Oryctolagus cuniculus: one gene and its partners. The protein of the gene in region 2 binds, or shares a complex with, the protein of the main gene of each other region. Links are inferred from orthologs where the notes say so. Each region holds a gene or a part of one and is shown on either strand. Other genes may lie near its edges.

Region 1 (4,280 bases), on a different chromosome or scaffold from region 2:
CAATGCAAAGGTAGAGATATTGGTGAAATAAAAACTGGCTTAGGAATGACAGTCCAGAGCCTTGGTACCATACTCACCCCCATTTCGGTTCTGGCTCTTGATTTTTCGATAGTCATTATACAAAGGCTCCAAGTACTTGTAGCAATCAATCGCAGTGCCTGTCAGCCTCATGTAAAGTGCCCCCAACATACGAACATACCTAACAGAGATGACAGTGAAATAACAGGCCATCCCAAGACGTTTTTTAGTTTTACGATTGCTTTTCTTAAGACAACAATAGACAAACATGTTTTTTTCACTTTGACAGTCAAGAGAGCTCAAGTTGTATTTTGTACTAGCTTTGGGACCTTGGACATATTCAATTTTCAATTATATTATCTGTAAAATGTGGATAAAACCTATTTACCTCACAGGATTAATCTAAGAATCAAATGAGATACTAAATTTAACAGAAGGCATAGATGCATTAATTAACAACAGTAGCACAATAGATAAGAATGTGGGTTCTGGAAAAAGGTCATCCATCTGGGTTAAAATTCTGATTCCATTATTTGCTAACTCTGTGACACTGAACACGTTACTTGTCTTCCCCAGTTCTTGTAAAATGGATATTATATAACTAAGTCTTTAGCCCAATGTATGAAATAAGAAATGGTCAAAGTGCTAAAGCATATTATAAGTGCCTAACAAAAATCAGCTATTTTGTAGCTGCCAATGTTTTGAAAGATTCCTTCCTTTTCCCTTCCTCCTATATCCAACTACTTACTCAGCTCTCCACATAGATAACTACCAGGCTTTTGAAACCCAACAGCTTCTTTATATGAGAAGGAGACTAGTAAATATGAGTTCTGGAGTCAGTTTTGCCATTTACTAGCTGTTGACCATAGACAAATTATTTAATCTCTGCCTCAGTTTCCTACTTTGTAATAAAGGGATAATACTTTTACAGTGTTGCTAGGAAGACAAATGAATAATTATATGTAAAGCCCTTAGGATATAATACACAATATTCCATTATCATGTCTGTCTCTATACTGCTCTGTGAGCTTCTTGAGAATGGGATAAAATAGTTAAGAGCAGCTGATACTTTCCAGTTGTTTTCCATGCAACAGGCACTGTGCTGACAAATTTGCAAGCACCACCTTCAACTCTCACATAAATCCTCTGTGTAGGTATTTGTCTCCTTTTTACAGAAAAAGAAAGCAAAGATTTGAAAATTAAGTAACTTTTCCAAGGTTACAATTATTAAGAGTCTGGACATGAACCTAGATCTAACATCTCATAATTACTACCCTCTGTTGTTTTCTCCACTTGTGAGTGTCCAGTGCTTATCCTGTTAGGCCCTCACTTCTACATAATATATGTTCAGGGAATGGGAAATTCTATTAAAGGGGGAAAATGATCATGACTAAGAAAGTAAAGCAGATTATCACAATCAGAACAGAGAAAACACAAACTTAAGAAAAAAAACCTAGAGTGGAACTCTTTGTGGAAATGAGAAATGTTAAAATGTTGTGTAAAGAACTCTTAACAAAATCCCAATTTTGAACCACTGAACTTTTTGTATTAGTCAATATTGCACTCACTTGAAATCTTCATTTTTGATAAACTCTACAATGATATCCTTCTCAGGTTGAATTTGAAGCATCTTCAAGGTTAAACACAGAAAAGGAGTCGGTTTTATGTTGCCACCATAGACACCACCCACAAACCTTAACTCCATGGCTTTATCGACCACCAGTTCAGCTAAAAAACAAAAACAAATAGCAACACCTCAATCATATTAGGGGTAAGATTTTCCTGGTTGGAAGTGGCATTGGTTCAAGGTTCAGCGCTCCTCAGAAGTCACCAGTAGTGTAATAGAACAAGTGTGTTTTAATGGTAATACTAATGATGACAGTAATCCATACACACTGAAATATCACTATATGCCCGGATATCTAAGCATTTCACATTATCTCAATCTTCTCATGTCGTGAGGAAGTATCTGGCACTGTCCCCATTTCCACTTGAGGAAAATGGGGGGTAAAGAAGATTAAAAGACTAGCTTCAAAGTCCTCAGTACTGCAATTCAAATTAGGACTCGCACCCGGAAATAGTGAGCTGGCCCGCAGTTAAGGGCACTGAGATGAAGAATACTGTGTCGGACACTTGCGGCCCTTTGATAGCTCAAGAGGATACGTCAAGGAGCTACAGTAGGTTCCTGAGCCGAAGATTGCTCAGAACCCTGCACGCCACCGTTAAGCGGGGAATGACTCCAAGAACTCGAGAAACCCTTCAGAATACGGCGAGGCCCTATCAGATTCATCTGTGCCCCCCACGATCCACAAAAGACGAGGAAACAGCTGGCGCTCCTGTCTGAACGACTGACACGCTCTCCCCCAGCCCCCCGGCGCCCAGTCGGGACTAAGGAGCCACGCCTCGCGCGATCCCGCTCACCCGTAAGCCCAAAGCACTCCTCTTTCCAGTACTTGGACTCATAGATTCGCGTCCGAATGATCTTCTCCACCAGGTACTGAGGGTTGGTGCCGTGGATGCTATGCGCATCCTTCACAGTACGGTTCGCCATTTTAGAACGCCTTCAGCCCCACTTCCGTCGTGTTCTTTAATGCGTCACATCCAGAGTTAAAAAAAACCGCCGAGTCTCAGAGGGGGAGGAGGAGGAGGAAGCCTCTTCGGTTGCTTAGACGACCATCTTGAAAGCGGAAACACCACAGCCCGGAGAACGCCCGCGAGGCGCGTTGCGCCGCGGATCCACCATGGCCGCCGCACGTAGGCGGCAGTACGCCGTGCGTCCCCCGGGGTGGGCGGGGCGACCGGGCCAGTGGCGTAACGCGAGGGCGGTCTGGGGGCGGGGCTACGCCGTTTGGCGGGAATTTTTTTTTCTCCACATTCCTTCTATTCCTACCCGAGCGGTAGCTTTGGCTCTCGCGTGCGACCGGTGGCTGTGAAAGGAGGATCGCAGCTGTGGAAAGTTGCTGTGGAGAGTTGCTGCAGCCCCCGGAGCTCCCGAAGCAGGAGCGGAGGGAAGCGAACGGCTTGCGGTTCGAGCGAGAAGTGTTGGCGCCCGGTGAGTGTGCATCGCGCGGACTGGAAGGCGACCTGAGCCCCTAAAACCGCCGTTTTCCTCTGTAGACTCATTTATCCTTAATTCACCCGGCAGCAGACAGCCACTGTTCGCACTCCCGCTAGGAGAGTTCCTCTTTCACGTCGGATTCCTAGAAGGCTTCCTGCTCCGCTAAGGACGCACAGTTCGCCCTGGGGAACCAGAAGCCAACAGTAGAGAGGCGCGTGCGTGCCTGCCTTCAGCGCCCTTAATCTCTTCACTGAGGATTTTAGTCTTTCCTTCCATTTGCGTTGCCTTTGTCCAGGACTCACGTTGTTTCCGTCTTTGAGCTGTAGTGTGCGAAACACTGCAGAGCGGCGGAGCGGATGCTATCGCTCCATTTTACGGATAGAGTAGTTGGGGCCAGAGAGGGAGCTCGGGGTCGTTTGTGACCTAGCGGCCAGGGCTCATTATCCAGGTCGTCTTCTTGAAGATGAGCTGCTCTGAACTGCCGGGTTCCCCCGCATCTTCTTTCCAGGAGGGAAACTCAGTGATACTTCCAGTCCAACCCGCAGTAGGGGGACCTTCTGTCGTGACAGCTGGAAAAAGCACTGGACTGAGTGGGAAAAGATGGCGAGATTCTTATCCTGTGTGTTGTTTGTGAAACTACGATGATTAGGTCTGCTTTGAGCTGTCAATCAATATGATTAACGATATCCCCTTCCCTGGCATATTAGATGGGTTGTGAATGTCAACGGTTTCCGGTGTGAGATAATAAGTTACCGTGTCTCATTGGTTTTTTGTTTTTTTTAAGGTTTATTTCTGGGGCCGACTTTGGGGTGTAGAGGTTAAGCCTCCATCTGTGATGCAGACATCCCACATGGGTCCGCCAGTTGGAGACTCAGTTGCGCTCCACTTCCCATCCAGCTTTCTGCTAATGCGCCTGGGAAAGAAAGCAGTGGAGGATAGCCCAAGTTCTTGGGCCCTACACTCCTGTAAGAAATCAGGAAGAAGCTCTGGGCTCCCGGCTTTTGCCTGGCCCAGCCCCACTGTTGCAGCCATTTGGAAAATGAACCAGCAGATGGAAGATCTCTCTCGTGCTCTGTCTCTTCTCTCTCTGTAACTCTCCCTTCCAAATAAATAAAATATTAATCTTTTTTTTTAAAGATTTACTTATGTATTTATTTATAGAGTCAGAGTTACAGAGAGGGGAAGAGACAGAGACTTCCATCTG
Region 2 (5,102 bases):
AACGACATGGCACAGCAGGTTGAGCCATGGCAATGAACACCAGCATCCCATATCTGGAGTACCAGTTGGTGTCCTGGCTGTTCTGCTTCCTATCCAGTTTCCTGCAGATGCACTTGGGAAGGGACCAGAAGGATCCCTATCACGTGCGAAATATCTCAAGTGGGCTGGCTCCTGGCTTCATTCTGACCAAACCCTGTTGTGTCCGTTAGGCAGGTGAACAAATCTCAGTGTACCTTTGAAATAAATCATCTCAGACACACATACAATGGAATTAGCCAGCTGCACTCAGATCACAATTTTATTGGCAACATCCAAAGCAGGAGCCAGATGAACACAAGCTTGCTTTCTCCCATCAAGCCTGACCTTGGCCACATCAGTGTTCACAGTCTGAGCTGGTGCTAGTTGGTCTTGAGCACCTCCATGGGTACAACTGCATTTTCATTTTCAGTCTTGGTGGTGGAACCAGTGATCAGGGAACTTCCTAATGGCATAGCAGGCAAGCTTGTTTCTCCTGTGGGGGTTCCCTTTGGAAGACACTTAAATTTGGGCTGCCTCCAGAACCTAGTGTCGTCTTCAGTTAATGTTTGGTCCTGAACATTATGATATCAGTAAGTTCTGTAACAGATAACGTGACAGTGGAAGATGGGTGATGTGTAGATTTCTGTGCCGGAACTCCCTTCAGCACTGCTTTCTTGGCTTTGAAAGCCTTTGCTTTAGCTTCAGCAGCTTTGCAAAGGACCCAGAGCTTTCTTCTTTGCCTTCAGAGCCATCTGGGTGAAAACCAGCTCCCCCTAGCATTCTTGAAACGTCAAAACGCTACGCAGGTTTTATGGCAGAAGGAAAATAAGGTAACTGGAAAACAGGAATTTCTTAGTGCTGCCCAGAATTAATTCAGCCAACCTGGAGCATTATGTGTCAAGCACAAGATCAGTATTTAAAGTCATGGTCAGAGGTAAATTATAAAACACTGCAAACTTTAAAAAGTGGGCATTAAAGGCCTAGAGAAATAAGATTTTACATTCTGGAAATAGCACATAGCATAGCACCTTCATACATCTTTGGTTGGAAAATCAGACACTGAGCAAAGCACTTCCAAAGGTTTTATTGGCTTTTAAATTTTCTTAAGCCAACTGATGGTTCTGCACCTTGTAAGAGACTTCTAAATCCCCAGGTCCTTTTCTAATTTTCCTTCAGAACAATAGCTGATTTTCAATGCCAAATCCTCTACTTGTGAAAGGGAAATGCTGAAACTTTTATAAATGATCCTCCGGAAGACAGTCCTGGAGCTGACATGCACATGGGCAGAGGCACGGTTCAGAATGAACCGTGAGGGCAGGGTGAGAGCAGTGAAATGAGATCTATGCATCCTGGCCTTTCCACAGGTTAGTCTACCCTATCCCAGGAATCCACTTCCTGTTGGACTTGAGATTCAGGTAGGATGACATCCCCTCTTCCCTTGATTCAAAGTAAATATGTTAACTAGGTGAGCATTATGTATACTTAAAACAAGTCTCCAGAAAGGTGTAAAGTTTATTAACATCTTAAAAAAAAAATAGCTACTGAATTAAGGGGTAGTTCCTTATTTACAAGTTTTAATATAGGAGGCACATTTTAATCAGCATTTCAGATAATCAAAGGGGTACAATATTTTTCTAAGAAATATCAGTATTTTATGCTCTAGGTAGATTAATGAAAACATAAGTGACAGCCCCAGTTAGAAACAGATTAACTAATACCTTAAAAATACATTTAAAAAAGGGTTACTGCTACTGCAACACGAATTTTCACAAAAGTATTCTTGTACCTAATTAAGATGATCTGTTCACTTAGAAAAGCTGGCCTCAGGGCAGGGGCTGGGGGAGCGGGGAGCGACTCATGGATCTGTCTTCATTTAAGTACATGCTTCCAAGCTGGTTGAGAGAGTTAGGGTTTCCAGAGCTTTAGGAGTCCGTCTTCACTGTAGGTGGCAATCAGGTTCTGATGAGGGTGATGTGCAATACCAATCACATCCTTCTCATGGACCTGGAAACAGCGCAGCATTAGGTGGCACAGGCCTGTAATGAATCCCTCTGAAGAGCCTGCCTGAACTAGGTGGGAGGCACGAGGTCGTGGGAGGCTGCATGTTCCTAAGCAGATAGGAGGGAGGACTGTATCCAACTATCACATGGTGACATAGTGTTAAGCCACTGAGATTTTTGCAGATTATTTGTTACAGCAGCTGGCATGAATTACTCCATGTACTTTTATCATACATAGAGCTAAAGTTTTAAAAACATCGTAATCAATTTGAGAGAGTAACATAAAACTAATCTGCCCCTAGAAAGACACAGAGAAAGCGCCTCCTTCAATCCCCAGCCCCCACGAGGAAGACATAATCTAGCTGGCTAGATGGGTGGTTCTCTTCCTTCTCTGCTTTGTGTACAGTGCGCCATCCTGCCCACCTGCAGCTGCACGGTCACTGAAGGACGGCTTTTCCTGACGAAGGAGGTAATTTCATACAAGTACATATGGACTCTCAATGTGTCATAAAGGCCTCTGTTAGATTTTTTATACTGAGGCACAAGCATTGGCCGTAAGCTCTTAGACGCCCTTGGTCAGCAGTACTCACCGTCAAAGTTCTCTCTAGTTTGCCAGTGACTGTGCTGAAACAGTAGAGCACAAAGTCCTCCCCCACACAGTAGATCCATTCACCCCGGGGGGAGAGGGCGCAGCAAACGAAGTCACCGCCTTCTCTCTTACCGGAGCTGAAGCTTCTGACGATCTAGATTGCGCCACACCACAAGACGAAAACAAAACATGGGTGACCAGTACGCAACCTCTTGGAGCTTTTTCAAACCTTCGTTAATATAAACTACACTTACAGATGACATTTTTTTAGCTGATATTTTTACACTTATTTTGTACTTCAGTTCACTGTGATTTCTAACTTTCAAATTTCACTCATGTGCTAAATTCTCTTGCCTGGAAAATACTCATTCCATGAGCTGCAAGGGCAGGGATCCTGAATTTATACATTCCCAAGTCATCAATACTGCTCTTCAGCCTGAGTCCTGCTACCCTGAAGCAAATTCATTACCACACACACAAAATCCTTCCAATCTCAAGCTTTCTGGACACATATTCATACCCAGTTTCCTCTAACAGAATGAGTTGTTCTTCCCATGCAGGATCAAACTCTGTCCCTAAGACATAAATCAACCTGAGAAAAAAACAATTTTTTTTTTTTTTTTTTTTTAAGATTTTTCAACAACTTGAAAGGACAGAGAAGATCAATCTTCCAGTCCCTGGTTAACTCCTCAAATGTCCGCAACAGCCAGGAATGGACCAGGCTGAAGCCAGGAATTCCATCTAGTTTCCCATACCCTAACCCTAACCCTTGGGCAGGGGCCCAAGAACTTCAGCCATCATCTGCTGCCTCCCAGGGTGCATTCATGGGGAGCTGGATCAGAAGCAGAGGAGCTGGGACTTGAACTCCGATAGGGAAAACTACCCCACCACACTGTGTCACTTCCCCTAGAAACTAATTTCAAAAAGCCTAAAGATTACCTACTGCACGATTCCATTTACAAAATACCATTCTCTAAAGGACAAAATGACAATAACAGAAAACTCCAGCAGCTGTGTGTTGCACTAAACCAGGGCAGGCATTTAGCCTAGCAGTTGTCACCAGTTAGGACGCCCACATCCCACACTGGCGTGTCCAGCTGCAAAGCCCAGCTACAGCTCCTACTTCCTGCTAATGCAGACACGGGGGGCAGCAGATACTGGCTCAAGTAATTGGGTTCCTGCTATCCACATGAAAGGCCTGGTTTGAGTTTCTGGCTCCTAACTTCGGCCAGCCCAGTCTTAGCCATTGCCAGCATTTGAGGAGTGAACCAGGGAATATAAAATCTCTCTCAGGGGCGGGTGCTGTGGCATAGTAGGTTAAGCCTCAGCCTGCAGTGCTGGCATCCCATATGGGTAGTGGTTAGAGTCCTGGCTGCTCCACTTCCAATTCAGCTACCTGCTACTAAGCCTGGGAAAGCAGTGTAAGATGGCCCAAGTGCTTGGACCTCTGCACCCTCGTGGGAGACCTAGAAGAAGCTCCTAGCTCCTATCTTCAGACCGGCCTAACTACAGCCATTATGGCCATTTGGGGAGTGAATCAGTGGATGGAAGACTCTCTCTCTGTAACTCTGCCTTTCAAATAAAGAAACAAATCTTAAAAAGAAATAAAGGTCTCTCTGTTCTTTCAAATAAGTATAAAAAACTTATTTTACATGAGAGAAACTACAAAACTCTGATGAAAAATATCAAGGTGGGGCTGGCCTTGCAGCACAGCAATCTAAGCTGCTGCCTATGATGCCAGCATCCCATATGAGCAGCGGTTGGAGTCTCGGTTGCTCTGCTTCTGATCCAACTCCTTGCTAATGTACGTGGGAAAGCAGCAGACGATGGCTGGGTTTCTGCCACCCACATGGGAGAAGCAGATGGCGTTGTAGGCTCCTGGCTTTAAGAATCTATTTTTTCAAATCATGTACTAGGAGGTATGCTTAGAGGATGCACCAGGCAGCTGTGGCTCTTATGCAGTGGCCCAGGGGACGCTGCAGACTAGCAGTCTCAGCCGTGGGCTGTGAACCACCAGCTCATTAGGTGCAGGGCCCGAGGGGTGGAGAGAACTCGGCACACCAACCCTTGGGTCTTCTTCATGCTCAGGAGAGTGCCCAGGCCTGTGTTTCCATAGCACTTGCGATGCATGCCCAGCCCACTCCAAATGCCCCAGTCCACAGAAATGAGATTCCCAGGGAAACCGCGCAGGCATCCTGATTACAAATGCACTTCACAAGGACACCACTGTCTTTCCTATTATTAGTGCTCCAGTTTAGCTCATGTGCTATCTGGGAGACGACCCAAGTTGGAAATCCACACCAGTGTATCTTTCCTAAGCAAACAAAGACTGTTATCTTCAAGTATTCAATAAGGTTCTGAAGGAATCTTAAAGACCAAGCAGAGCTGTATTTACACAACGGATAAGAAAGAAAAAGCAGTACTATGTAAGCACTGCCAGGGAAGGAGGTACTTTTGAAACACCGAAGATGTTTCGTAGGGTTATGGTTTACATA
Region 3 (5,011 bases), on a different chromosome or scaffold from region 2:
TGATCAGAGGTTGTACCATAGAGGGAGAGAAATCATTTGAAGCTAAACTGAATTAGATGACCTCCTAAAGAATGAAGACTAAATCATGGAAAAAACTGAAACCTGCTCCAGCTTGCCTTGAAAGGAGTGACAAGATGATCCAGTCAACTACAGCAGAGTACCCATGGAGCTCTAGTGCACATAATCCTGCCAAGGAAACAATCCACTGGTGTCTCCAGGAGGCCAAGACTCTATCTAAAACGTTGACCCATGCCTTAACCCAACAGAAGGCACAGTCACAGTGTTCCCGGAGCAATATTCAGCATCAAAAATTAACCAGGTAAAGGGCATGTGTGGCAGCAAGGGAATTTGGTATGAAATCCAGAGGTAAGAGTATGGTGCTCTGCAGAATCCACAGTTGTTCAGATGCTAAAGAAAGCGGCGTGAAGAGCTAGACAGAGCAGAGGAAGAAAGTAAGCCACATGGTGGCAACCTTGTTAACCCAAATAGATCCTTTTTCAGGGTACAGAATCACTAGCAGTAGTTGCATCAGTCATCTGCTTAAAATGACTATTACTCTTTTCTGTGTTTGACTGCTTTGTCCCCCCACCCCCCACATTCCAGGTCCAGTACTTGGTCTAGGGTAGCAAAGATTTGGGGTTTCCTTTTCATTAGCTAGTTCTGTGCCACCTCTCAAGTCAGACCATAGCTGGGAAGGCAGCACCATTCTCAAAGGTTCGCAACAGAGCAAAGGCAATTTTGCCCCCTTCACTCAGGAACATGTATATATCTTTTTTATTGTCACAGCTGCAGGAGGAGGTGCTACTGGCATCTAGTGGGGACAGGTTAGAGATGACACTAAACATCCTGTAACACACAGTAGTGTCTCTGTGACACAGAATTATCCAGCCCCAACGTCAACAGTGCCAAAGTTCAGTAACTGTGCCTAGACCAACCACAGCTAGTGAAAGAAACACTAAGTTAAACTGAGCTCTGCTGTTCCAAAACAAGGAAGATCCAACGAGACTGAAATTATAGAAATTCTTTTGTCCAGACTCCTCTGGACAGATACTGTATCAGAGGGAACTACAGTTCAAACTGGAGGAACCTAGTTAAAAAAAAAAAAAAAAAAAAAAAACCGGGGGGGGGGGGGTCAATGAAAGGGAAGAGGGGTCAATGAAGGGAGTATAGAAGCTCTATCTGGAAATCCTCAGTGAGATAAAGGAAAACATACAAAGGGAAGATTTTGGAAATGTTCCCACCAAATGTCAAACAGGCCCACTCAACGCTATTTATTATATATGTTTAACAGCCCTGTGACCCAAGGGCTCCCACAATGAGGTTTTGAGCTTTTGTTGTTTTTGTTGTTGTTTTCTTTTTTGCATCAAACAGGTTCTTCCAAGAGCCTGCTCACAAGGAAGACAAAAACAGAGAAATCCTCAGTAAAAGGAAACAAACAGTAGTTGAAACAGTCTACATCCGAAGAACAATGTTAAAAAACTCACCAGACACAAGCCACACCAAACACTCATCCCATTTAATTTCCTGTTACATGCTCTGAGGAGGCGAGAACATCAGGCCCCAAGGCAACAATGCTCTGAGATTCTAGCGCAGGCCCCCTCTATGTGACAGATTCATGCACACACATCCGCACACACCACTGACCCAGGCAGAAGTACACATGCATGCACAGGTGGCTGAAGAACCTCAGGGCAGGATGGGAGAAGGAAGGGCTTGTCAAGGATATCCCATCAACTGGAAAGTGGGGAGCCCGAGATCCCTTCTGCTGCAGGCTGAACATTAAGTCAAAATTAAAACAAAGGCAGAACACAGGATAAAGGTAGGATGCTCAGACAAGAAGGTGAATAGATGAAGATGCAGAGGCTTTTGGGAAAGCAGCCTCCGAGGGAAGGTGGGTTTTGTTTGTTTTATTGGGAACTCAGATGGGCAGAGGTCCTGTGACTCCAGCGATAAACTGAGGCTCAAGGAATATGCCATAGCATTACCTCTGCATCCTGTGCCCTCTCCCAAGGTAGAGGGAAATCACAAACACCCACCCTCTAGCCCTCCCCACTGACACTCTTAAGGATTTCCCCAGTACCCAAAAAGAAGTATTTCCCTTACCCCCAACACATACACACACAAAGTTAGGTCCAGCATAGGCCAAAATGAGGCCAAGTATAGAAAGCGTCAGTAACTTTTCTTCGTGGAACCAAAGCCAGAGAAGCCCATCACAGCTGCCATCTCATCATCCTCTTCAAATGTCAAGTCCTCCTCAGCCCTCCTTTTCTTCTCCTTCTGTTTCTCTTTCTTGTAGGCTTTAGCCTTTTCCTCCTGTGGGGGAAACCACTCAGACTCAGCTCAGACTCCTGAACTGTATATTGTCAAAAGATACATGTACATGTCAGGATTTTCTCTGTATTTGGGAGAAAGTAGTTAGACAAAAGCATGTAACTAACTGACATTCTAGCATATGCAGTACATGCCAAGAACTGTTCTGAGTACTTTATATATTTCACTTGGATCTCCAATATGGAGAAACTGAGGCCATATATAACTTGAAAAGATTCATAGCCATTAAATGGTGGAAACAGAATTCTGATCCTATCAGCCTGGTACCAGGGGCCTCTTGATGACTTGATCAATTTAGTTAATCCACAGAAAAGACTAAGGCTATGCACACACAGGTATAGGAGACAACCAGGAAATCTCAGTGAGGACAGCGCTGGGCACAGCAGGTTAAGCCACCACCTGTGATGCCAGCATCCCCTATGGGCACTGATTCAAGTCCTGGCTGCTCCACTGCACATCCAGCTCCCAGTTAATGTGCCTGGGAAAGCAGCAGAAGATGGCACAAGTCCTTGTGCCCATGCACCCACAGTGGAGACCCAGATGAAGCTCCTGGCTTTGGCCTGGCCCAGCCATGCCTGTTATGGCCATTTGGGGAGTGAACCAGCATATGGAAGAGCTTCTCTCTCTCTCTCTCCTTTTCTCTCTAACTGTGCCTTTCAAATAAACAAATCAATCTTTAAAAAAAAAAAAGAAAGATAAAGGAAGGGGCCAGTGCTGTGGCGCAGATTAATCCTCCACCTGAGGTGCCGGCATCCCATATGGGCACTGGTTCTAGTCCCAGCTGCTCCTCTTCCAATCCAGCTTTCTGCTCTGGCCTGGGAAAGCAGTAGAAGATGGGCCAGGCGCTTGGGCCCCTGCACCCATGTGGGAGACCCAGAAGAAGCTCCTGGCTTCGGATCAGCCCACCTCTGGCTGTGGCAGCCATTTGGGGAATGAACCAGCAGATGGAACACCTTTCTCTGTGTCTTTCCCTCTCACTGTCTGTAACTCTGTCAAATAAATAAAATCTTTAAAAAATAGAAAAAGGAAATCTCCATACCTTCCTCTCAAGTTTTTTTTACTCTAAACTTTTTGTTTTCTTTTTTTATTTATTTGACAGACAAAGTTAGACAGTGAGAGAGAGAAACAGAGAGAAAGGTCCTCCTTCCGTTGGTTCACACCCCAAATGGCCACTACAGCCGGAGCTACGCCGATCCGAAGCCAGGAGCCAGGTGCTTCTTCCTAGTCTCCCTTGTGGGTACAGGGGCCCAAGCACCTGGGCCATCCTCCACTGCCCTCTCGGGCCACAGCAGAGAGCTGGACTGGAAGAGGAGCAACCGGGACTAGAACCAGCGCGCATATGGGATGCCAGTGCTGCAGTTGGAGGATTAACCAAGTGAGCCATGTTGCTGGCCCTAAACCTTCTTAATGAAACAAAAAGTCTTTTTAAAAAATTAAATGAAAGCACAATTATCCATAAAAGCAAGGCCCAGCCGGCGCCGCGGCTCACTAGGCTAATCTTCCACCTAGCGGCGCCGGCACACTGGGTTCTAGTCCCGGTTGGGGCGCCGGATGCTGTCCCGGTTGCCCCTCTTCCAGGCCAGCTCTCTGCTGTGGCCAGGGAGTGCAGTGGAGGATGGCCCAGGTCCTTGGGCCCTGCACCCCATGGGAGACCAGGAAAAGCACCTGGCTCCTGGCTCCTGCCATCGGATCAGCACGGTGCGCCGGCCGCAGCGCGCTGGCCGTGGCAGCCACTGGAGGGTGAACCAATGGCAAAGGAAGACCTTTCTCTCTCTCTGTCTCTCTCTCTCACTGTCCACTCTGCCTGTCAAAAAAAAAAAAAAAAAAAAAAAAAAAAAAAAAAAAAGCAAGGCCCAGAAAGTCCAGGAGAAAAGGGTAGGTTTGAAGTCATTTCCTTCAGATCATGAGAGACTCAAATAAAGACAATAAATGTTTCCCCTAATATTCAGAACATACAACTCTGGGGCTGGGGATGCAATGAGGAAGAGGCCTCCCATGAGTCACGATATAAAATGCAAAGCTGGGGCTGTACAGGAGTGCCTTACTTCTTCTCTGAGCTCCTTCATCCTTTCCTCAAAATCATAATCCTTCTGCTTCTCTTCCATCTTCTTCTTGTTGACCTCAAAACGTTTCTTCACCTGATCCAGTGTAGATCGTTCCACACGCATAGACATACCCAGGTTTCGCTGATCTGGGTGAGGTTCAAAATAAGAAGGCAAGGTCATTACAACATCCTCAGAGCCTCAAAAAGTCTTTTCCTAGCCTTTTGAAAACCTTTTCATAAAGCACGTAACAAAAATAACCTGGCTGGGGTTGGAATTGTGGCACAGCAGGTAAAGCCAAAGCCTGTAATACTGGCATCTCATATGGGCGCAGCCAGTTCAAGTCCTGGCGGCTCCACTTCCTATCCAAATCTCTCCTCATGTACCTGGGAAAAGCAGCAGAAGATGGCCCAAGTCCTTGAACCCTTTCCACCCACAGGGGTGACCCAGAAGGGGTTCCTGGCTCCTGGCTTCAGCCTAGCTCAGGCCCTGGCTGTTGCAGCCATTTAGGCACTGAACCAGCAGATGGAAGATCTCTAGTTCTCCCTCTCCCCATCTCTGTGCATGTCAAATAAAAAATAAATATTGAAAAAAAATTAATAATAATGGCTGAAAAAAACACATAAAAAGCTCTTGGC
Region 4 (4,568 bases), on a different chromosome or scaffold from region 2:
ATTAAGTCCCCTTAACAATTTCATAGATAGGATCTGTATTTAAGCCTCATCCAGTCAACAACTATTTAGGAAAATTCCTTTTGAGCATCTTGAGGCAAATTCTTCCTCTCACATATTCGAGCCTAATTCCCTGCTGGCATTCAAGAAATATACCTTGCCTTCCTCCTACAGACAGCAAGCAATGATGGACAATCTGTGGAGGAAACTCAGTGGGACAATTCCTGATTGTCAAAGAGACTGTTTTTTTCATGTAATTCCTACTACGATATAATATTTCAAACTTCAGTTAGGATAAAGAGGCTTAGTTTCTCACACTTAACTGCATATCACCATACAATTTTGACAGAATGGATTTAGGGCCACAGGAATGAATAGGTCTTGCAATGAGGCTTTCTAAACATAATTCTGATGTCCTATCCACTGTGCAGATCCATGAGCTCAGCAAGAACACGTTTAATTTCTGACAAGATTTAGGTCTCTGCTGACTGATCTAAAACCAAGTTAAAGGTTTAGGTGTTTGGTACAGAGGTCAAGTCACTGCTTAGAACATCCACTGGAGTGCCTGGGCCCAGTCCTGGCTCATCTACTTCTGATCCAATTTCCTGCTCATGAGAGGCAGCAGATGATGGCTTAAGTATTTAGGTCCCTGCAACCTACATGGGATACCCAGACAGAGTTCCAGGCTCCTGCCTTCTGCATGACCCATCCCCTATCTGTTGTAGGTACTTGAGGTGGGAACCAGTTTCAGTGCAGATGAACTGCCTAGAAGGTAAATCTTGAGCTTCCCACACAGCTGGAAGAAGAGGAATTTTCCAGTGTGCTCAAACATTTCTGAAACGGAACCACTTCCTGCCAACAGGCTCGCAGTGCTCTTTTCTTATACCCTGAGGATCTTATGGAACCTAAGATGTGTGTGCACTTCAGAGACAGGCACCCCCTGGTTACCCATAGGCCTTTAAATAGGGCCCACATATTCCAAATTTGTTCCCAAGGGCAGGTTAGTATCTGGGTCCTTCTGTACTTACTGACCTCTCCTAGTAGTCATAGGACCAAAGATCTTTTCAGGAGCTGTAGAAGTAAAGAGAATGCCTGTTAAATTAGACTATCATGCTGGTATTCATGCTTAACCCATCAATTCAAGACCGAAAGTAGAAGGAAGCTCTAACAGGGATAGAAAAATCAGTCACTCTTCCTCAATATCCAATGGGAGAAGAGCGGATGTCCACATGGTTACTGAACCCAAGTTTCAGTTGCATGGCAAAAAGAAATCAGGAAAAGTCACAAAACCATCACTGAGTTGGGAAGAGTAGGCAGCCACAGGGTGCTAGAAGTCTAAGCAGGTACTCAGAAGGAAGGAGGATGCTCGGTTCTTATTCCAAGATAGGCTTCAATCTCTTACCTAGATTCTTTTGAACAGAAAAACACACATGGACACCAGCCACCTTAAAAACTAGGTTTGTATTTCTGGGTAGGTCCTAGAGTGGAAGAACTCAAGAGCAATACTATATCCAACCTGGTTCCCACCAATGTGTGCCTCCCTCCCTTCCACAAAGGACATTGTACAAAACTCTATTTACAGGAAAACCAGTTAAAAATTAGGCATGTGTACAAAAGTAGACAAAAGGCAGATGCAAGGATGGCCTTGAGGAAGAGGGAACAACATGTTCCACACTAGAACCCAGATGTATCATGTACTAGGCAGGGAGAAGTGCAATAAATCTCAATGCCAATTTTAAGGGTGAACCAGTCATTCCAAGGGAAGACATGAGGGGGGAAAAAGCTGTTGGTTTTAACGGCAAAGTCTTAATTAATTCTCCTGTCACCTTTCTCCTGCCATATGGCAGAAGCGAGGTGGTGGTGGTGGTTGTGGCGACAGGAAAAAGAAAATACAAAGTCTCTTGGCAGCCCCACATATACAGCAAGGAAGGGCTCAGAAGGCGTAACGGGTCCGGATGTCCTCAAGCTTCTTAGACACCTCAGGTGGAGTTCGGTCCAGTTCCTCAGAGACATTCTTTTGTTTGTTGGGCTCCATGGAATTGAACTGCTCACAGAGGTCTCCATCAATCACATTCTAAGACATGAAGTAATCAGAAGGAAAAAAGGTTAAATGCACAAAGTAAATAGAACAAGAGGCCAGCATTGTGGAGCAGTGGATTAACCTGCTGCCTGTGATGCTGGTATCCCATGAGTGCTAGTTTAACCCAGTTGTTCCACTTCCAATCTAGCTCCCTGCTACTACACCTGAGAAAGCATCAGAAGACAGCCCAAGTGCTTGGGCATACACAATCTACATGGGAGACCCAGATGGGAGTGTCAGGATCCTGGCTTCAGCTTGACCTAGCCCCAGCCACTGCAGCCATTTGAGGAGTGAACCGGGGATGGAAGATCTCTCTCTGTGTAACTGCTTTTCAAGTAAATAAACACATCAAAAGAGAAAATTAAAAAAAGAGAATGCTTTGTATTCTCCCCAGTGAATCACTCTACTTTGTAGAGTCGGGAGCACATTCTCAGTCCTTAGTAGTCAGAGTTCAGAATAGCAAAACTAGGTGAAGCTTTTTCTTTGGCTATGATATGACCTGAGGGGAGAAGATTCTGAATATAATCACCAAGCACCCCTCCCCCAATCCAATCCCTTGCCACTCCTTTATGCTGCATTATTCTGATTTTTAAGGAGATGGAGGCTAAAAGAAAAGATCAGCTGAAAGGGCTGATTCCCTCAAGCTACCTTTACAGGGAAGTAATAGGAACGAAAGCTTAGGTGGTCCCGTCCACAGAGAGGGGGATGCTCAGACCGCAGGTGCATTTCAACATGCTGGAAGAAGTCATGGTCCTGGTGGAAGAAATAAAGAGCCTGTCACTAAAATAAAAGTGATTTCAACCACTAGTGGATAGTATTCAGAAGCACAGTGAACAAGTCATTGATTTCCCCATGCAAACAAATGGTAAATATCTAATCACTCTTCTGATGATCAAAGGTTCTTCATATATGACAGGACAGCTAAAACCCCAAAGAATGTACTGTATTTGTAGCACAAAAGAGAACATCATGGGTAAGAGCAATTTTTGAAGTCATATTCCAGACCCTAGACTATCAGGCTAGAATGATTCCATAAGGCACAATGTGCTCCAGCATGGGGCCAGCGCTATGGCATAGCGGGTAAAGCCACCGCCTGCAGTGCCAGCATCCCATATGGACACGGGTTCAAGACCCAGGTGCTCCAATTCCGATCTAGCTCCGCCATGCTTGGGAAAGCAGTAGAACATGGCCCAAGTCCTTTGGTTCCTGCACCAGTGTGGGAGACCTGGAAGAAGCTCCTGGCTCTGGACTGGCTCAAATCCAGCAGTCGCGGCCATTTGGGGAATGAACCAGCCAAAGGAAGAACCCCCATCCCGCCTCTCTGTAACTGCCTTTCTGATAAATTAATCTTATAAAAAAGAAAGTGCTCTAGCAGATATCTAACTCCCACTTCTAGTCACTGTAGTTCAGCTTAAAAACTAATGTCTTGGTAGGGGCAAGGGGAGGAATATTAGGATTCCTATCTCCCTAGGAAGGTGACACCTGGCACCTTGTCAAATTCCCAGAACTTTCCTAGTTACAAGATTCAGCCCAGATTAATATGGGTTCTCACTTCATGGGATGTGAATGGAACAAGGATGCCAATTCCTCCAGATAAAGTGGTATAGACAAGTGACTCTGAGCCTCCAGGGATCAGTGTGGTCTTCTGTAATGACAGCACTGTCTCCCCAACATGGTAGTTCATGATCACCTCTGCCTGCAAATCAGAAACAGATAAACAATGATGAGTGTCTTTGGAAATAGGTTCTGGATTTCCAAAAGCAAGGCAGTGACCTCAAAGGTACCTGTCATCTTTTAAGAAATCAAAAATTACTAAAAGCTAACAATACTTCCACAGGAGGTAGCAGGTAACATCTAAATAGTTGGGTTCCTGGGGCTGGCACTGTGGTGTGCATAAAGCCACCGCCTGCAGTGCCAGCATCCTATATGGGTGTTGGTTCAAGTCCTGGCTGCTCCACTTCTGGTCCAGCTTTCTCTGCCTCTACTTCTCTCTGTGTGTTAACTTAATCAAATAGAAGTCCAGAGATGCTCTCTTAAACATGACTAAAGAGGAAAAACTGGTTAGTACTGGGAATTAATCTGTACAACTAGGTTTTCCAAGGAACTATGTATTCTTCAAAGAGTTTTACACTGACTGACGTTTCACAAAATTTTCTAAAAGCAGAATAGTGAAGTGGTCACCTTATATCAAACCTAACATTCCTCCATTACAGGTTATGTATCAACAGCTATGGGATTTCCAAGAAGGAAGGATCATGCATGGGAGAGCACTCAGCATAGCTAATGTGCATTGTGAAAAATTCACTAAAAACTGTCAATGAGGGCAACAGGAAAAGTAGTTAAGTGTGCCTTTCTCACATGAGCTCTTTGTGAAATCCTACCTTTTGTGAGGCCCCATTGAGCAAGCCCCGGTCCCACAGGGCTTTGTTTCCTGTAGGATCCTCATCCACTTCATCATTGGTGTTAGGTGGGAGTCTCACCTACAAGAAAA
Region 5 (4,198 bases), on a different chromosome or scaffold from region 2:
CATCTCTCTCTTTGAAATAAATTTAAGTTGATTAGCATTGGTCAAGTCCCATTTGATGTGCTTGTTTCCTCAACTATAATAGGCTGTAGAACTAATGAGCTGGTGAATACACAAGCTTAACTTTGTACCTGCTTCAGAGTAGACACTCAAATGCCAACTCTAAGCACTTTCCAAAATGAGTTTCAAGGCCTTATTTTGGCTCTAGGATAATTCTTAAATTGTATCTCATAAAACAGTGCCTTGTGCATCTTTATTACTTTAATTACACTTGTATTTTCATCCTAGGACATTAAAGTTTTAAGAGTGATTCTTCTAGTGGGGCATTTAAAGGATGTGAAAAGACTTCGCTCTGACAAACCAGTCTTCTCACTGATTAACCCATGACCCCTGGAATTCCTTGTGCATGATGGTTATACAATATTAAATGTGAATTTAACACTAATGTGCTGCTCAGAGAGCCTAGGTGCCTTCACTGATACATGAGTTGGCTATGGAGAACACATTTGTGGTGACTCTGATTCAGTAAGACTGATGTCCCATTTCATGGGTCAACTTTTGTTCTATGTACATCTACAATAAAGACAGACAGGATAACCAAAACATTTGTATTTTTATACATGGAATAAACGTGTTCCATTGAAAGTATCAGTTTCTGAGAACAAAGGGGATGGTTAAAATATGAAACATCCTCTGTTGAATTCCCTGCTTTTACTTATTAGGTAGTTAATATAAGCCTGTGTATTCTGTGTTTGCATCATGATAAAAATCGGTGTGTGACTTTTTATTTGACACACATCAATGGATCAAGAATTACATTCACTTAGAAAAAACTGACTCCAATTAAAAATGGAAAACATTTCAATGAGCTTAGATTTCCTGCTATGTTACTCCCAACACTAAGGTAGAAGAAAGGCATTGTCCACTCCACTCACATGCTCATGTTTCTGACCCAAGCTAAGGGTCTGGAAAAAGAATCTCAGAACAACAGTCCCAAGTAAATATGGGAAACCACAGCAGTGATGAAACCCGAGATTTCTCAGAAATAGTTTCAAATGGGAAGGCTCCAGTACCCACATAGTGCTTTTCTGTGGGATTCTCAGCATGAGTCCAGACCTCAAAAAGCACCTTCAAAGACAGGACTACCTGTTATCACAAGTATGGTAGAAGGTCCAATAGCCTGGATATGCGGGCCATATAAATAATGGGAAAAGCAAACTGAAGACCAGATGCTAAGACTTGTTGTGTCCCATAGGTGGAAGAATTATGTAGTTGAACCCTAAGTAGTTTTCCGTTTCTTGGCAGACGGTCGCTCAAATACATCCCGTACCCCAGCTGCCTTCTGTTTGAAGAACTTGGTGTTCTGGGCACTTTCTTGACCCCATGCTGAATCAAAGGAGGTGGTATCTTGATCCACAAGGTGGGTGTATTTGGTACGGCCAGAGCGTCCAAAGTTCTTGACCTGAGAAGGATGAATGATGAGTTACACGTAACACCAAACATACTACACCTCTGTCCTCAATATATGATCTTTCTCTTATGTTACTAAGGTTCCCCATACCTGCATGACTTTAGGAAGAATGGTTTTGTTGAAATGATCCTCCAGGGTAGGTGCACTGAAATCTCTCTTGTATACTTCTTCATCCTCGTCCTGCAGAAATGAATATAATCAGTTATTTTAGTTCTATTCCCTTTTATTCAAGCCAGAGTTAATATAACAAAGGTTACAGAGATTATTGAGTCATTCTTCAAGGGCTTACACGAGTTACTATAATCTGTGTGCTCATTTACGCACATGCCTTCAACTATGAACAAGCCTCTCAACTCTGAATTTTCTACTGCCTTTTATATTATTTTAACAGATATTCCATTGGGTCTTAACTCATATCTAACTGCATAGGTGGATTTAGCTGGATAGGAAGCACAGAATAGCTGGCTGGGACTGGAATCTGATAAGGGATGTAAGAGCCCCAGGCATGGGTTAACTTACCATGCCACAATGCCCACCGTTGATTTAACTTCTTTGTAAGTAGGCCCAACATTCTCTTAGTTAACATAGTTTCAAAACTGGAGTAATCTTGTGTATATTCAATCAGTTGCCACATCTCATAAACTCTTATCACGTAGTTTTTTTCCCTACCATTAATGTTTCTAGAATACAATTCTTTTTTTTTTTTTTTTTTTTTTTTGACAGGCAGAGTGGACAGTGAGAGAGAGAGACAGAAAGAAAGGTCTTCCTTTACCGGTGGTTCACCCTCTAATGGCCGCTGTGGCCGGCGAACCGCGCTGATCCAATGGCAGGAGCCAGGTACTTCTCCTGGTCTCCCATAGGGTGCAGGGCCCAAGCACCTGGGCCATCCTCCACTGCACTCCCTGGCCACAGCAGAGAGCTGGTGTGGAAGAGGGGCAACCGGGACAGAATCCAGTGCCCCGACCGGGACTAGAACCCGGTGTGCCAGCGCCACAAGGCGGAGGATTAGCCTAATGAGTCACGGTGCCGGCCTAGAATACAATTCTAATTATGTATCTGCCTTGCTCAAAAACATCAATGGTTCTGTAGTAGGTAAGGCCAAATATAAGCCTTAATCTGTTTAGTTCTTTTTGCCACTTCCTTTTATAGCTGATACTTTTCTGCCTCCCCTCCTGCTGGAATGTCTTAACACTGAAAAGTCAAGTCAATCATCTGAAGTGTTACCTTTATACATGTCATTGTTTTCAATCAACCAAATACAACATCTCCCTCTTTAGAAACTGCCAGAGTACCTTCAGTAGACTTAGACCTACTTTTAGATTGTGAGCCTTTTGAGGGGAGGATTTTATATTCTTTGGTAGTGCATAAAAGGATACTTAATGAAACATAGCGAATAGTTTTGAACCAATGTGTCAGATTACAATGCTGTGGCAGAGATTACACACATACATGCTAGAGGTAATAAAAACAGCATCATCTTGGTTTAGGAAGGACCAGTTTTAAAGACAGGACTATTAACAGTTTTTGTGAGATCTTTTCTACTGTGGACTTGAAAGTCCTTCATTTAATCCTAGAAGCCATTTCAATTTTACTCTCCTGGTCCAGAGTTAATATTTGAGTACGTGTACCAAAAGACTGACTTCATATAAACTTTACCTATGTATTTTAGTCAGTAATACACTGGTTCTCTAAGAAGCATGGTTATAAAAGCTATTGAAATGATGAAATAAAGAAAGACACTTTATGACTTTCAAAGAGTAGAAGTAATTCTAATCTCTACTAACTATGGAAAACCATTTGTGCTGGAAAATCACATAATAAGCATTTCCTGCTGATCAGTAAGACTAAGGCTGATTTTGGAGAGTAGACATCTCCAATGAAGTTTTCAGATTTTACCAGTATCTGCAGTGAAGGGCAGGATGAGATATTTAGGCTTTGATAAATAGCACTTGAAAAAGCTAGTTTAATTTTTGATACCAACTTTCTTAACATCGGGAAATTAACAAACCATATGCTATCAAGTAATAAATGCAAATCGATTTTTCCATTACCTTTCCTGCTTTTCCTCTTAAAAGAATTAATGGTGGTGTTAATTCAATATTTTCTAAGAGGTGTGCATCACTTTATACAAGGCTAACAGACTGTTATTTTGGATTACTATCTATTTCATTGCCTGAATTTTTCTATTAATATCATTTCCTCTTTCTGAGAACTAGGGCCAAAATAGAGAAGAGTTGCTGCTACTTCAGTTGCTAACACTTTTCTCTGGGTTTATATTCTTCAGAGGCAAAACGTAAATGAGAAAGGTTGCAAGTGGAAATAACATTACAGAACAGCTTATTCTTGGAGAAGAAAGAATTCTAAACTTCTGAGTTATTCCTACTGCCCATTTTTCTGACTCCCTTTTCATGTCTTACCATGAAGAAGGCACCCCGGTGATAATACTTCTGCAAAAATTTGTATTTGCCCTTCACAGCTTTGTTGGTAATGACTTTGCCATTTGCCCGAAGCTCAGCTCGTCTCTCTTCCTCAGTCAGGTTCCGCATGCGTTCAATTTCTGCTTTCTCCTTCTCAAGTCTGTTCAGAGAACAAAATTATTTATTAGTATTGTTCTAGCTTCAAAGAGTTCCAGTCATGTGAAAACTGCATCCTATCTCCTTTCAAGCATTATTCACTTAGTTTAGCTCTAGGGATTGCCTGTTAGGAATCAAGATTAAGAGTTTGAGAAAT
Region 6 (5,368 bases), on a different chromosome or scaffold from region 2:
GATCAGGCCAGCAGCCTGCTAAGCAGACTCCAATATGCAGGGAATTTGTCCTAGTGTCAGGTATCAGGCCCTCAGACAGGCTTGAGTAACATGTTTAATCATTTAGGTTCCTCTGTCCACATCTTGCCCATCAGTTAGGGTCGTTCTTTCCTTCCCTGCTGGGCACACTGGCCAGTAAATATCCTTATTGTCGAGGAATATAGCAGCATAGCTCATGAAAGAACTGACACATCCTTCTAGGTGTGATTTCTTCTTAATTTTTAAAAATTTGGGAGGCCAGTGCTGTGGCATACTGGGTAAAGCCACTGCCTGCAGTGCTGGCATCCCATGTGGGTGCCAGTTCAAATCCCAGCTGCTCCTCTTCCAATCCAGCTCCCTGCTATGGCCTGGGAAAGCAGTGGAAGGCCCACGTCCTTGGGCCCCTGCACCCATGTGGGAGACTGAGATGCTCCTGGCTCCTGGTTTCAGCCGAGCTCCGGCATTTGGGAAGTGAACCAGGAGATGAAAGACTTCTCTCTCTCTCTCCCTCTCTCTGCCTCTCTGTAACTCTGCCTTTCAAATAAATAGATCTCTTAAAATTTTTTAATTTTTTATTTGAAGGCCAGCATGTTACAGTGAAGTTAAGCTGCACCTGCAATGTCACCATCCTACCACCTCATGTCCCTGCTGCTCCACTTCTAATCCAGCTCCCTAACAATGCACCTAGGAAAGCAGTAGAAGATGCTCCCACATGGGAAACCCAAATTAAGATTCTGACTCCTGATTTTGGCCATTCCCAAAACCAGACCTGGCCACTGCGGTCATTTGGGGAGTGAACCAGCAGAAGGAGGTCTCTCCCTTTCTGTCTCTCCCTTCCTATCTGTAACTTTGTTTCAAATAAATAAATAAAACTTTTTTTTTTTTTTTTAATTTGAAAGAGATCTTCCATCTGTTGGTTCACTCTCCAAATGTCTGTAACAGGCAGGGCTGGGTGAAGCAGAAAGCCAGATGCCTGGAACTCAATCAAAGTCTCCTATGTGGGTAGAAGGGTCCAACTACCAGAGCCACCATCTGGTACCTCCCAGGGTGTACATCATCAGGAACCTGGAATTGGGAGCAGGGCCAGGACATGAAGCCAGGCAGCCTTATATGAAATGAAGGCATCCCAAGTGACATCTTAACCATAAAATCACAACCAGAGGATTGGTATTCCAGGGACCCAGAAGGGAGGATGAACACAGAAAAGACAAGACAGCAGGTTAACCAATTTTAATGGAACCAATGATTATACAACAAAATTTTATATACATTCACAGAAACACCTTGCAACCTTTCTGGGAATTATAGAAAGAAAGCAGTGGGAGCCTGTGGAAATTCTCCAGTTGGAACTGGAGATTAGTACTTTGGTCTTTTGACTTCAACCCTGCAATCAAAGGAGAAACAGATCAGCATAAGATACACACACTAGGCAGTTCTTACCACACCCACAGAGGAAGCTGCTCACCCGTCAGCCTCCATCTTCTTTCTCTTCTCAATGATCTGCAAAAAGACGAGTGATAAATGAGTCACACAGCCAGAGTAAATGCAGATACGGCCCAAGACTGACCTCTCGGTCACTTGCATGGCTCTCCCTGTCTATTTCTGGGCCTGTAAGCCAGGGCCTCCTCTCAGCTGAAAGCCTCACACCTGAGGGACAGTCCCACTCACCGCACTTATCTTCTTCCACTGCCGGTCAAGCTCTGCCTTGTCATTGGTTTCCTTGAAGCGCCGAGTTTTCCGCCCCTCAGACATCTTGATGCCATACTGGAACGCAGCCCTGAAAAGAGCCATTGAGTGAAGCAGGCATGAGAGGTTGGCAAAGCAGAAGCAAGGTTTCCCAGAGGGCCCTGCAGGGACACAACCTACTGAAGAATTTATCATCCAGACATCCTCTAACTTGATTTGTAGGCAAGTTCACCCAATCACCATAGGCCTCATCACTCCCTGCCCGTGTTCTCTAACAACTCACTTGGGCAGAGCTTCCTTGTTGTTCATATACTCGCTGTATTCCTCCTGTGTATCAAAGTCCCAGCGGCCTAAGGGGCCCTTTTTGTTACCCTGTTGCAAAACAGAAAGGGGAGACAGGCAGGGAAGAGTCAGTCAGTGGAAATAGAAGTAGCCCTTAGTTAAAGCCAGACTCTCCCAAAATCCCACATTTCACCATTTGTAAGTCTTATTCTGGCCGGCGCCACAGCTCACTAGGCTAATCCTACACCTGCAGCGCCAGCACCCCAGGTTCTAGTCCCAGTTGGGGCGCTGAGTACTAGTCCTGGCTGCTCCTCTTCCAGTCCAGCTCTCTGCTGTGGCCCGTGGAGGATGGCCCAAGTGCTTGGGTCCCTGCACCCGCATGGAAGACCAGGAGGAAGTACCCGGCTCCTGGCTTTGGATGGGTGCAGGCCCAGCCGTAGAGGCCATTAGGGGAGTGAACCAACGGAGGAAAGACCTTTCTCTCTGTCTCTCTTTGTCTAACTCTGCCTGTCAAAAAATAAATTAAAAAAATTTAAAAAAAAAAAAGTCTTATCCTAACAAATAATAAATGCTTACTGCAAACTATGTGATAGACATTATTCTACATACACACCTAAACACCTCTTATTTAATTCTCACAAAGTCAGTGAAGATAGAACTATATTTCTCTCCAGTTTCCTGATGATAAAACTGAGGCATAAACAGTAAAACAAGGGGCTGGCACTGTGGCGCAGCGGGTTAATGCCCTGGCCTGAAGCGCCGGCATCCCATGTGGGCGCCGGTTCAAGACCCAGCTGCTCCACTTCCAATCTAGCTCTCTGTTATGGCCTAGGAAAGCAGTGGAGGATGGCCCAGGTCCTTGGGCCCCTGCACCCGCATGGGAAACCCAGAGGAAACTCCTGGCTCCTGGCTTTGGATCAGCGCAGCTCTGGCCAATTGGGGAGTGAACCAGCGGATGGAAGACAAGACCCTACCCCACACCCCCTCTCTCTCTGCCTCTCCTCTCTCTGTATAACTCTGACTTTCAAATAAATAAATACATCTTAAAACAAAAACAAAACAAAACAAAAAACAGTAAAACAATTTGGCAGTCACAAAATTAGTAAATGGTAGAGGTGGAATTAAACAAAGCTCCAAGAATAAAGAATGCTTTTAGCTACTGCAGTACACTGAGAATAAAGGAAAAGCAGATGATATTTCTTCAACATTAATTTTGTTTAATATTTAAAGGAAAACTTTAATCCTGGCTAGAATAAAGTTCACTTATTTTCTGAAGACTGCAATTCCTCCTTCCCTCTCCACACATGCGTTAATGCCTTCTTACGGACCAGGAGGAAAATCAAAGCCTGGCATATTGTTGTAGGAAACAGAAGGACTCCTGGCCCTAGCTCATTTGATCGTGTGCAGAAACTTCAAAAACAGCTCAGCTGCTCCCGACTTGTAATACTGCTGCTTCTAATGGTGCAACTAAAGGAGGGTCAGGCCCAGTAAGCGAGACACAGATTCCTGTAGAGCAGGAAAGAGGAGATATGGGAAAAGGACCCCATCCTTCCAATGCCATACCTGGTCCATTTTGCTATAATCCACCTCTTCATCACTATCCACAGCCATGTCATCCATCCTAAAGAGAAGCAATGGTAAAACAGATGCTTTAGACTCAGAGCTGTTTGCCTAGAAATGACTTCTCCTCTAGACTTCCCAGAGTCGAACAGTTAATTCAAGTAAGAAATATCCCTGAGTCCCAGCAAATCAAATCTCCACCTCATCCCCCCAAGTTTTTCTCCATAATCCCAGCCACCCCCCTTCCTTATTGGGTCTCACGTACGTGGCTGGATAGCACTCTGCGTAACTGTTTGACATGCCAAAGAAATCTCCCAGCTGCTTTTTGTCTTCTGGCTTCTTTAACATATGCTATGTTAAAGAAAATACTAAGGGCCAGCACTGTGGCAGAGCGGGTAAGGCTGCCACCTGCGGTGCTGGCATCTCAAATGGGCATCAGTTGGAGACCCACCTATTCTACTTCCAATTCAGCTCTCTGCTATGGACTGTGAAAGCAGTGGAAGATGGCCTGAGTAGTCCCTTGGACCCCTGCACCCATGTGGCAGACCCCAAGGGGACTCCTGACTCCTGGCTTTGGATCAGCACAGCTCCAGCTAGTGTGGCTATCTGGGGAGTGGACCAGAGTATGGAAGACCCCTCTCTCTGCCTCTCTGTACCTCTGCTTTTCAAAATAAATGAATAAATCTGAAAGAGGGGGGGAGGGAGGGAAGGAGGAGGGGGAGAGGAGGAGAGGGGAGGGAAGGTGAAGGGAGGGGAGGGAAGAGAAAAAAGAAAATACTAGATACAATTTCATTAAGAAAAACTTTAGGCAAGAGAGTCCAAGCGTCAGAAGTCTCAACGTGAAAATTCTAAGGAGAGGGCTAAGCTTCAGTGGGACCCCCAGGGGAGGGGCAAGGCAAGCTTTCATCCCTGTCAAATTCAGCATAAAGCAGAAGGAGTGAGGGGGCAAAAGGGAGCAGGGAGGCAAGTGAGGTAGAGCTGAAAAGGGGACAGTTCTTCAGAACCCAGGAACATATTAAAATAAAGGATATGACTCAGTGCCTTCCCAACCAGCAGACCCAGCAAACTTTTCATTGATGGACTTGATCAACTCCTTGGCAGAGCCAGGTCCTGAGAAAAAAAGAACTCTGCTCAGCCTTAGAACCAAGGCACTCACAAATTCCTCCCCTTGAAACACTTCCAACCTGCGCCTTTCGTAAAAATATTTTTTTCCTGGCAACAGACCCTTTCATCTAATAAAATTTTATCCACACTCCAATTATTAATGAGCTACTGTGGAGGAGATGGTGGTGAGGTAACCAGAACACTGCACAATTAACCTCGACGCACCTGCTCAAAACCCCAGGGCTACAGGAAATGCTATCTAAGACCAAACATATCCTGCCATTGCCCAGGAAGGTGCACAGAACTCCAGACTCATCCTGTCTATCCTGCAAGCAAGACATGATTCTTTTGAGAACCCACAATCAAGAAGCTTCCCAATCTGACCTTTACCAGCTCTGCGCTCTAGATCAAATTCAGCCCAGGGAAAGCAGCACTGTAATAGCTAATGGAAAAAACCGTGCACAGGACCCACCTTTGTCGACGTCCATGGGCTGAAAAGAGAAAACTGAGGTGAGTGTCACCAAGAGGGATTCCCATTCATCTCTCCCACAGACTGAAACAATTCCCTACCCCACTTCATCCCCATGTCCAGGATGGTTCCCCCCACACCCGCTCCCCACATTAGCTGACTCAGTGGCTGCTGTGAAGCCACGAAGCACTTACATAATAAATGGGAGGTCCTGCACCTAGCTCGGGGCTCCACCGGTGGTACCAAGGG

Evidence for each region.
Region 1: SMU1 (region 2) and PRPF38A share a complex: the UniProt entries of both Homo sapiens proteins name them as parts of the spliceosome B complex. The link is inferred for Oryctolagus cuniculus from reciprocal best matches to the Homo sapiens genes SMU1 and PRPF38A.
Region 3: SMU1 (region 2) and ZMAT2 share a complex: the UniProt entries of both Homo sapiens proteins name them as parts of the spliceosome B complex. The link is inferred for Oryctolagus cuniculus from reciprocal best matches to the Homo sapiens genes SMU1 and ZMAT2.
Region 4: SMU1 (region 2) and SF3B3 share a complex: the UniProt entries of both Homo sapiens proteins name them as parts of the spliceosome B complex. The link is inferred for Oryctolagus cuniculus from reciprocal best matches to the Homo sapiens genes SMU1 and SF3B3.
Region 5: SMU1 (region 2) and MFAP1 share a complex: the UniProt entries of both Homo sapiens proteins name them as parts of the spliceosome B complex. The link is inferred for Oryctolagus cuniculus from reciprocal best matches to the Homo sapiens genes SMU1 and MFAP1.
Region 6: SMU1 (region 2) and IK share a complex: the UniProt entries of both Homo sapiens proteins name them as parts of the spliceosome B complex. The link is inferred for Oryctolagus cuniculus from reciprocal best matches to the Homo sapiens genes SMU1 and IK.

Annotation. Positions count from the first base shown.
Region 1 is NC_091438.1:120,514,402-120,518,681, forward strand, and holds the start of PRPF38A (pre-mRNA-splicing factor 38A), read right to left. Parts: upstream 2,801-4,280; 5' UTR 2,570-2,800; coding exon 2,440-2,569; intron 1,747-2,439; coding exon 1,587-1,746; intron 200-1,586; coding exon 78-199; intron 1-77. UniProt on the Homo sapiens protein: Involved in pre-mRNA splicing as a component of the spliceosome.
Region 2 is NC_091432.1:196,460,620-196,465,721, forward strand, and holds the end of SMU1 (WD40 repeat-containing protein SMU1), read right to left. Parts: intron 2,762-5,102; coding exon 2,609-2,761; intron 2,023-2,608; coding exon 1,924-2,022; 3' UTR 1,513-1,923; downstream 1-1,512. UniProt on the Homo sapiens protein: Involved in pre-mRNA splicing as a component of the spliceosome. Regulates alternative splicing of the HSPG2 pre-mRNA. Required for normal accumulation of IK.
Region 3 is NC_091437.1:28,335,385-28,340,395, reverse strand, and holds the end of ZMAT2 (zinc finger matrin-type protein 2), read right to left. Parts: intron 4,523-5,011; coding exon 4,377-4,522; intron 2,314-4,376; coding exon 2,170-2,313; 3' UTR 1,257-2,169; downstream 1-1,256. UniProt on the Homo sapiens protein: Involved in pre-mRNA splicing as a component of the spliceosome.
Region 4 is NC_091449.1:56,643,707-56,648,274, forward strand, and holds the end of SF3B3 (splicing factor 3B subunit 3), read right to left. Parts: intron 4,558-4,568; coding exon 4,459-4,557; intron 3,774-4,458; coding exon 3,630-3,773; intron 2,831-3,629; coding exon 2,726-2,830; intron 2,072-2,725; coding exon 1,931-2,071; 3' UTR 1,440-1,930; downstream 1-1,439. UniProt on the Homo sapiens protein: Component of the 17S U2 SnRNP complex of the spliceosome, a large ribonucleoprotein complex that removes introns from transcribed pre-mRNAs.
Region 5 is NC_091443.1:66,689,389-66,693,586, forward strand, and holds the end of MFAP1 (microfibrillar-associated protein 1), read right to left. Parts: intron 4,046-4,198; coding exon 3,886-4,045; intron 1,649-3,885; coding exon 1,559-1,648; intron 1,460-1,558; coding exon 1,277-1,459; downstream 1-1,276. UniProt on the Homo sapiens protein: Involved in pre-mRNA splicing as a component of the spliceosome.
Region 6 is NC_091437.1:28,289,942-28,295,309, reverse strand, and holds the end of IK (protein Red), read right to left. Parts: intron 5,142-5,368; coding exon 5,123-5,141; intron 4,657-5,122; coding exon 4,578-4,656; intron 3,893-4,577; coding exon 3,812-3,892; intron 3,608-3,811; coding exon 3,550-3,607; intron 2,077-3,549; coding exon 1,988-2,076; intron 1,796-1,987; coding exon 1,687-1,795; intron 1,519-1,686; coding exon 1,484-1,518; intron 1,403-1,483; coding exon 1,375-1,402; 3' UTR 1,234-1,374; downstream 1-1,233. UniProt on the Homo sapiens protein: Involved in pre-mRNA splicing as a component of the spliceosome. Auxiliary spliceosomal protein that regulates selection of alternative splice sites in a small set of target pre-mRNA species. Required for normal mitotic cell cycle progression.